Arabidopsis thaliana: one gene and its partner. The protein of the gene in region 2 interacts with the protein of the main gene of each other region in a pairwise test. Each region holds a gene or a part of one and is shown on either strand. Other genes may lie near its edges.

Evidence for each region.
Region 1: the proteins of AT5G25280 (region 2) and HAM2 interact in a two-hybrid assay, tested with the Arabidopsis thaliana proteins (one large-scale study listed by BioGRID).

What each region holds. Positions count from the first base shown.
Region 1 is NC_003074.8:22,411,059-22,414,990, reverse strand, and holds the start of HAM2 (GRAS family transcription factor), read left to right. Parts: upstream 1-2,327; 5' UTR 2,328-2,623; coding exon 2,624-3,932.
Region 2 is NC_003076.8:8,772,135-8,776,066, reverse strand, and holds the start of AT5G25280 (serine-rich protein-like protein), read right to left. Parts: upstream 2,279-3,932; 5' UTR 2,186-2,278; coding exon 1,523-2,185; 3' UTR 1,023-1,522; exon of another isoform or gene 903-1,022; 3' UTR 1-902.

The DNA of each region.
Region 1 (3,932 bases), on a different chromosome or scaffold from region 2:
AAATTATAAGTTCATACAATCTATCACTATCTTTACTTTTTCTTTTGTTTCCGCCGTCACTGTATCTATCCGCTAAGCGAGACAAATTTTTATCGTTTGTGTTGTAATGTGTCTCCTAAATATATAGTTGATCTAATTAATAATATATAAACCAACCAAAATGTGACATGCTTTGTTATGAATAAGAAAAAGTTACATTGTCCTTGTTTAGTGTTTGTGATTTGATTAAGATATTATGATATGACATGATTCACATAAGTTAACCCCACTAGCATTCCTGAACATAAAAATTGAAAACTTTAAATAAAGAGAAAACAGAAAGCTTTGCCCGTGAGTCGAGGTTAGCAAAGGAGACTATATACCGTCTATTTTGAGGACTTTAAGTTTATTTTGGGAAATTAGCAAATCTAAAAACATAGTGGAAGTGAATTGCAAATATGACATTTGACATAAACTGAGATAATTTGGTTACAGGGTTAATATATTTCTACATCGAAGTTAATTTTTTTACTTGTTTTATATCACTGTAACCAAATTACATGAATTTCCGTGAAACCGAATCACGAGTATGTATGCAAGGTAACACACGGTCGATGTGTCCCTCCACTAGCCAGTCATCAACCTATAGAATGTATAGAATGAGTTGATTAAATTACGCAAATTGGTCATTTTTTAATCCTAAAATATAACAACAAAGCAGAAAGAAATACTAGTTTAATAGAATACATGTTGTTAGACATATTACAAGGTGGTGGAAATTCACATGGAGGTTTCTTGTTTGTCTTGGAGGAAAAAAAACATGTCTCCCATTATTACAATGTCCAATTACAAAGATTTTTGTTTTTATATTATTTTGGCTTAAAAAATAGAAATATGTTTAGGGCAATCACATAAGCCATGTCTCCCTTCCATTCACACACAAACTACCAAAAGTTCCAACTTGTCTTCGCAATCCAGCTCCACCTCTTTTCTTTTTAATCTCCTTTTGGTATCCTCTATTCTATTACCGCCACCAATAAACGGCCACTTAAGTATTTCAAGTTTGTCAAAGAAGTGAAAAAAAGAAGAAGAAATGATATAGATGATTTTAGAAAAGAATGGTGGAATAAAACGATTTGATTATCGCAAACACGTGTAAACATCAACTAACATAGGCTAAAGATTTGTCATAATTTTAGTTTTGACCGTGTCTACTTGTCGTTCAAAATTAAACTTGATTAGCAAATGCAAGATTTTATAGTCAATATGTCATTTATTAGTTAGTTTATAAAAAATCTAGACTAGAGCCATGAGATCTTCTCCAGAGTTCATGCAATTTCAACCGTTAGATAAAAAAAAAAAACAGAGTGTGTTAATAGAAAGCAAGGGTAATTATGGAAAACAATGATTAACAATAAAGCCATCTGTATCAAATTCGCTTTTTGCTCTGAAACCTCGGTATATGTTTTTGATTTTTTTAATAGTACTGTCTTTCAGATTGATCGTTATCTAACGCGCCTCAACAGTTCTGGACTATTGAATTACTTACTGTAAGACAATCAACTAATAACTGACTCTTTTAGGTTTTTGGGTTTCGACAATTCAATTTATTTTCTTTCTTTTCTTCATACTCCTATTACTTATTTAGTTTGATCTAATGAATTATACACTATATGATCCCATATTCTTAATAAATAAGTAAATAATTTTGACTATTTTAAGTATTTTTACGATTTCGCTCTCAAAATGTTTTTTACCTGTAATTTCAAAAATAAATTTGACACATCCTTTTTTTTTTGTCAAACATTTGACACATCCTTTAAGTAAACAAATCTATTGGTTTGAAGAAAAAAGAACAAAAATCTTTTGGTTCATTTTCATTTGACCCTTGACTTAGTTTTTATACATATATAATGAAGTATATTTTTACTATCATACTATTTAATATAAAACATGTTACTGCACATATATATTAAATCACCCAATTGCTATTTCACTAAATAACAAATTATTTTACAAGATGCAAGTTTATTTTATAAATCGAACAAAATTTACGAAAAATGTAGAATAGTAATTTTGTCGATATGCATAAAATTTATTGGTTTCCTTGTTTTTTTTTTCCTCAATCCAGTGTTTTCCTTATTTATTATGTTGTCATCATAGTAATTTAGTCAATTTATGATTAAGGCTAAATTTATTCGATTAATGACACTTTGATTTCGATTTTCATGGCTTAAACTTATATAATCAATGATCTCTTGGAGAGTAAGAGTGACGCGCCGTAAGTGCGAGTAGGGTTAGAAACGAGGGGATATAAAATGAGTACAGATGTAGATAAGTAAATCTACAGACACAAGGCACCACACACACAGCAAAAACCAAATCCTTTACTTAAAAAAAAAAAAAAGAGAGCATTTTTTATGAAGATCATCACTTTGGAATGTTGTTGGAATCATCCAGAGTCAATATACATAAGCAACGAGAAGAAAGATTGTTATTAATACCGAGTGTGAGATAATGTGGGCGCCAATTTCAGTTTCAAGCTTTCATCTTCGTCTTCCTCTTTAAGTTCTGAGATCTAGGGTTTTTCTGGGTTTCTTTGTTCTCACTCTTAAATTCTCTTTCTGACTCTGTAAGATTGGTCATGCCCCTGCCCTTTGAGCAATTTCAAGGGAAGGGGGTTCTGGGTTTCTTAGATTCTTCTTCTTCTCCGGGATACAAAATCTGGGCTAATCCAGAGAAGCTCCATGGACGAGTAGAAGAAGATCTCTGCTTTGTTGTCAACAATGGTGGTTTCTCGGAGCCGACGTCTGTTTTAGACTCTGTTAGAAGTCCAAGCCCTTTCGTCTCTTCTTCAACCACCACGCTGTCTTCTTCTCACGGTGGTCCCAGCGGCGGCGGCGCTGCTGCTGCTACTTTTTCCGGCGCCGATGGGAAATGCGACCAAATGGGTTTCGAGGATCTCGATGGTGTTCTCTCCGGTGGCTCGCCGGGACAAGAACAGAGTATTTTTAGATTAATCATGGCTGGCGATGTAGTGGATCCGGGTTCGGAGTTTGTGGGTTTCGACATCGGTTCTGGATCCGACCCGGTTATTGATAATCCTAATCCACTCTTTGGATATGGCTTCCCTTTTCAAAACGCACCGGAAGAAGAAAAGTTTCAGATTTCAATAAACCCAAATCCGGGTTTCTTCTCGGATCCTCCGTCGTCTCCTCCTGCGAAACGGCTCAATTCGGGTCAACCCGGATCTCAACACCTCCAGTGGGTTTTCCCGTTCTCGGATCCGGGTCACGAATCTCACGACCCGTTTCTCACACCGCCAAAGATAGCCGGAGAAGACCAAAACGACCAAGACCAGTCAGCGGTAATCATCGACCAGCTATTCTCTGCGGCGGCGGAGCTCACCACAAACGGCGGAGATAACAATCCCGTTCTCGCGCAAGGGATATTGGCGCGGCTCAATCACAACCTTAACAACAACAACGACGACACTAACAACAATCCTAAACCTCCGTTCCACAGAGCAGCTTCGTATATAACAGAAGCTCTTCACTCTCTCCTTCAAGACTCATCATTATCACCACCGTCTCTCTCACCTCCTCAAAACCTAATCTTTCGGATCGCAGCTTACAGAGCTTTCTCAGAAACGTCACCGTTTCTTCAATTCGTCAACTTCACAGCAAACCAAACGATTCTCGAGTCATTCGAAGGGTTTGATCGGATCCACATTGTCGATTTCGATATCGGTTATGGAGGTCAATGGGCGTCTCTGATTCAAGAGCTCGCCGGAAAAAGAAACAGATCTTCATCAGCTCCGTCGCTAAAGATTACAGCTTTCGCTTCTCCTTCAACTGTCTCCGACGAATTCGAGCTCCGATTCACTGAAGAAAATCTCAGAAGCTTCGCCGGCGAAACAGGTGTCTCCTTCGAAATCGAGCTCTTAAACATGG
Region 2 (3,932 bases):
CCTCTGGTGGTCCTAGAGGAACTCTAAGAAAATCGTGATCGTTTTTTGCCTAAAACATTATAAATTTCGTATCATTTTATGATGTTTAGAAGAAAATAGAGTAAATCATATTCAACTTCCAAAAACAATGAGAAAACATATAGAAAGAGTTACAGATATATAAAAATAGTCAAGTAAACTAAACGAGTAAAGAAAGTACAGAATAATCCAACACAATCAAAACCAAATTAACAAAAAGTGCATCCATCATCTACCGTGAAGAAAAGGTTACACAGAACCTAGTACTTAGAGATTACGATATAATCAGTCAACTAAAGCAAACCTAAGGAGTATAGTTTATATTTAATTAACCAATTAATCAAGGGATCTATAAAATCGACCTATGCATACAATAGTATAATCCAACTTTAATCCCTCGAGATAAGGAAGACGTTGGAATCCCCAACGTAATCGTGTTGGGCTGTTCTCAATTCATCGGCCAGCTGTCCTTTTCTCATATATACCGTTCAAGAATCTTTTACTTTCCAAACTTACCCTCACGAATTTCATCATTTACCATATCCTTCTTGAGATATTTATGGTAAAAATATGATTTCATTGAATCTTTTCACTTTAACCTCAACCGTTTCAGGAATCTAAATCTGTGATTCACAAATTCCAGAGAAAAATCTGATTCCTTCGAATCTTTCACATTCTCCAGCTCCAAAACCAAAACCTTAATCGTTCCACGAATCAAAATCACTCATATTCGATCGTCCTTTATCAAATTCTCCGTGTTTTAGGTCATATATTTGATTTTTCTCATAGTCCAAATTCATTTTTCTTCCAAAGTCCACAAACCCAAAATATTCCAAAGTTGAACGTAACGGTTAAGTAATCATCTTCTCCTCATTGTACGAAACCTGAAAAAGACAAACCAAAAAAAAAAAAACAGATCAAACGTGCACAAAAAAAGTAAAACGAAATTAACCAAATAAATAAGAAACGGAAAATACATACCTGACACGACGAACAACACATACCTGGAGAAATAATAACGGAACACACATAACACACGACGACGGTTAACGGCAAACAGAACGGGTCAACGACGGAGAATAGAGAACGTTGACTTGACGGAACAAACTAACGGTGAAGGCAACGAACAATGGAGATGGAGAGATTTGCAAAGTTGAATCCAAACAATATTTACTACTAAGTCCTTTTCCAGATTTTAATTACCCAATTCGTCACTACTATTTTCCATTTTTAGATTTCTAGATACTTTCGACTTGCGAAATTTTTTTGTTCTGCTTCAATAAGCAATATGTGTATGTACAATGCATCATCATCATCTCATCTCCCACCCAACAAAACAAAAACGGTGTCGTCTTAGTCACCGTTTTACATAACTCGGTCCGGTATAACTCAGCTCCGAATTTGACTCGGTCCGGTATGACTCAGCTCCGATTCTGCTCCTTGATTCAACTCGTTCATGGCAGATCTGAGTATATCAAAAACAAGAACAAACCTGAAGAGAGATTCAAAGATCTTCTGCTTTCGACATAGATGCGAGTCTACTACGACGAGGCTCATAAGCAGATCTTCTCTTTAGTTGATGTGAAGATGGTCTAATCAAAGTAGTCAAAGCTCTTCGCACCCATTCACCTTCAACACCACCAATTCTCACAAGAGAATTCGTCATCGCAGATCGACGCATATTCAATCCATTCGTTGTATACGAAGCTGTACCTTGACCATGTGGATTCGCGACGTTCTTGTGTAGACTACACCGGAATGAACCAGGATGCGTTGTCGGAGAGCACATACATCTTCTCCTCGAATCCGGAATCTTGTGATGATTGCTAGGTTTGTTGGAAGAAACAGCGATGGATCGATTCGGTGATATAGATCTGTTATCGATTGAGTAACGAAACGATTGCGTCATCGGAGCTGATGTGAATAGATTCACACGCGTCGGAGAAGCAGATCTGTGTTGGTGGTGGTTGTTCTGATTGTGGCTGCTGAAAAACGCTGTAGACGGTGAGGAGAAACTTGAGCTTGTGGAAGAAGCGAAACCTGACGACGACGGAGATGATGACGGCATACGGTTTGAGTAAACGCCACAGAATCGACCGGACGGTGATTTGGATCGGAGCGAAGCAGATCCGTTTGATCTGGTGGTTCTAGAAGAAGTAATCGCCATTTTTGGAGAAGCTTCGAGAAGAAGATTGAAGAATATTTTAGAAGAAGGATTTGTTTCTCTCTTTAAGTGTCCCCTTAGGGTGATTGGTTCGGCAAACCTAGCGAGTCTCAGAAGACGAATTTATAGCTAAAGCGAAGAATGGCATTTTATGTAATTAACGAGAAAGTTCGTGACCTTTTTGGTGATTTTAGGAGATTTCTATGTGTTGGGTTAATTGACTTAACCATGGTTACACATGATGGGTTTGGGGATCTCAACTTGCCGTATTGAAAAGAATTGGATTCTGATCTAACGACTGAGATTGAGTTTCAGCGAAGTGCTTTTGTGGGCATTTGTGATGACTGCCACGTAATCAGATTCGAGAAACGGTCAGGTTGGGGATTTACGAAAGTACCCTGAAATAAATGTGAATAATTACGAATTGCCATTTGTCTCTGTTTTCATTTTCATTGACCCTAGTCGTCCACTGGGGTATCTTTTTCTTGAAGCAGATTGTTTTATCACTTTTTCTATGTTTATCTTCCCGCTATTTATTATTTGATGTAATGGTACCAATGAGATTATTTTTGTTGTTATACGATTATGCATGGTTAGTGAACAATAATATTAAACCAGAAAAAGTTAATTAACATTTGTTAGATAAACTGCTTTTGATAACTCAATTTAGCTTTTTCTGATTATTGCTTTACTTGAGAAATAAAGAGAGGATCTTTACTCATCGTAAAATTTTCGATAATTTTTTTTATGTTCACTGACTACTGATTTTGTTTTTCATATTTATAAATGTTGAGGATATTTTGATAGAGTTAAGTATTAAATAATATAAATATAAAGGAGAAAGGATTTATTCTACTCTGTAATATGTTTTGCGGATATTTTCTCTTATAAAACATACCGTGAAAATTAAGTGTCGGAATACAGTTTGTAAAAAGAAATGATAATAATGTACTTAGTAAAATAATATCAACCATAACTAGATTCAAAAAATTAATATCAATCATAACTAGATTTAAAATACATCGCAATATATCTAAACTTTAATTGGAATCAAACTATATTTTTCAACAAAAAACATAGAATTTAAGAGTCATTTTAGAGGTAAAAGTTGTCTTCAAACTTCGAGAAGCAAATCAAATTTAACATAAAGAAACCAAAACCAAAACGTAACAACTTCAAAGAGGAATAATTATTATTTTATTTTTAGATCAATTACAAAATTATGGTTTATAATGCATGTTTAAATTCAGTAAGTTATAATAGGATCATTTTGGTGGCATATGGTTTTAGACTTTTAGCTTCCTTTCACAGTTTTAAAATTAATAAAACTTAAGAAAATGCTAATTCACAGTCTAGCTACAAAGCAAAAAGCACACGTTTTGTTGTGATATTTTGATTTTCTACTGTCAAATGTAGATGAATCGTTTGGAAACATTGTCTCTGAACATAAAACCCTACGAATAATAATAGTTAAGCATCCCTTGTCCAACAAGGAAAGAAAAAAGAATTCATAAAAATGCGACTAATTAGACAATTTTTGTGACTACCATAAACATATTAAACTATAATCAACTAAGTACGACGTAGGTTGCATTTTAATCATTTAAATAAACCGGCTTTTTAGAATTCAAATTCCGATTCAAACTTAATTAATCGGTCTTCATAATAGTGCTATCAACTTCTTTCGGTTTGAAAGGTCGGCGAACCATCGACGTGTTTACATATTATAAATACATTTTTTGCTTTGTTA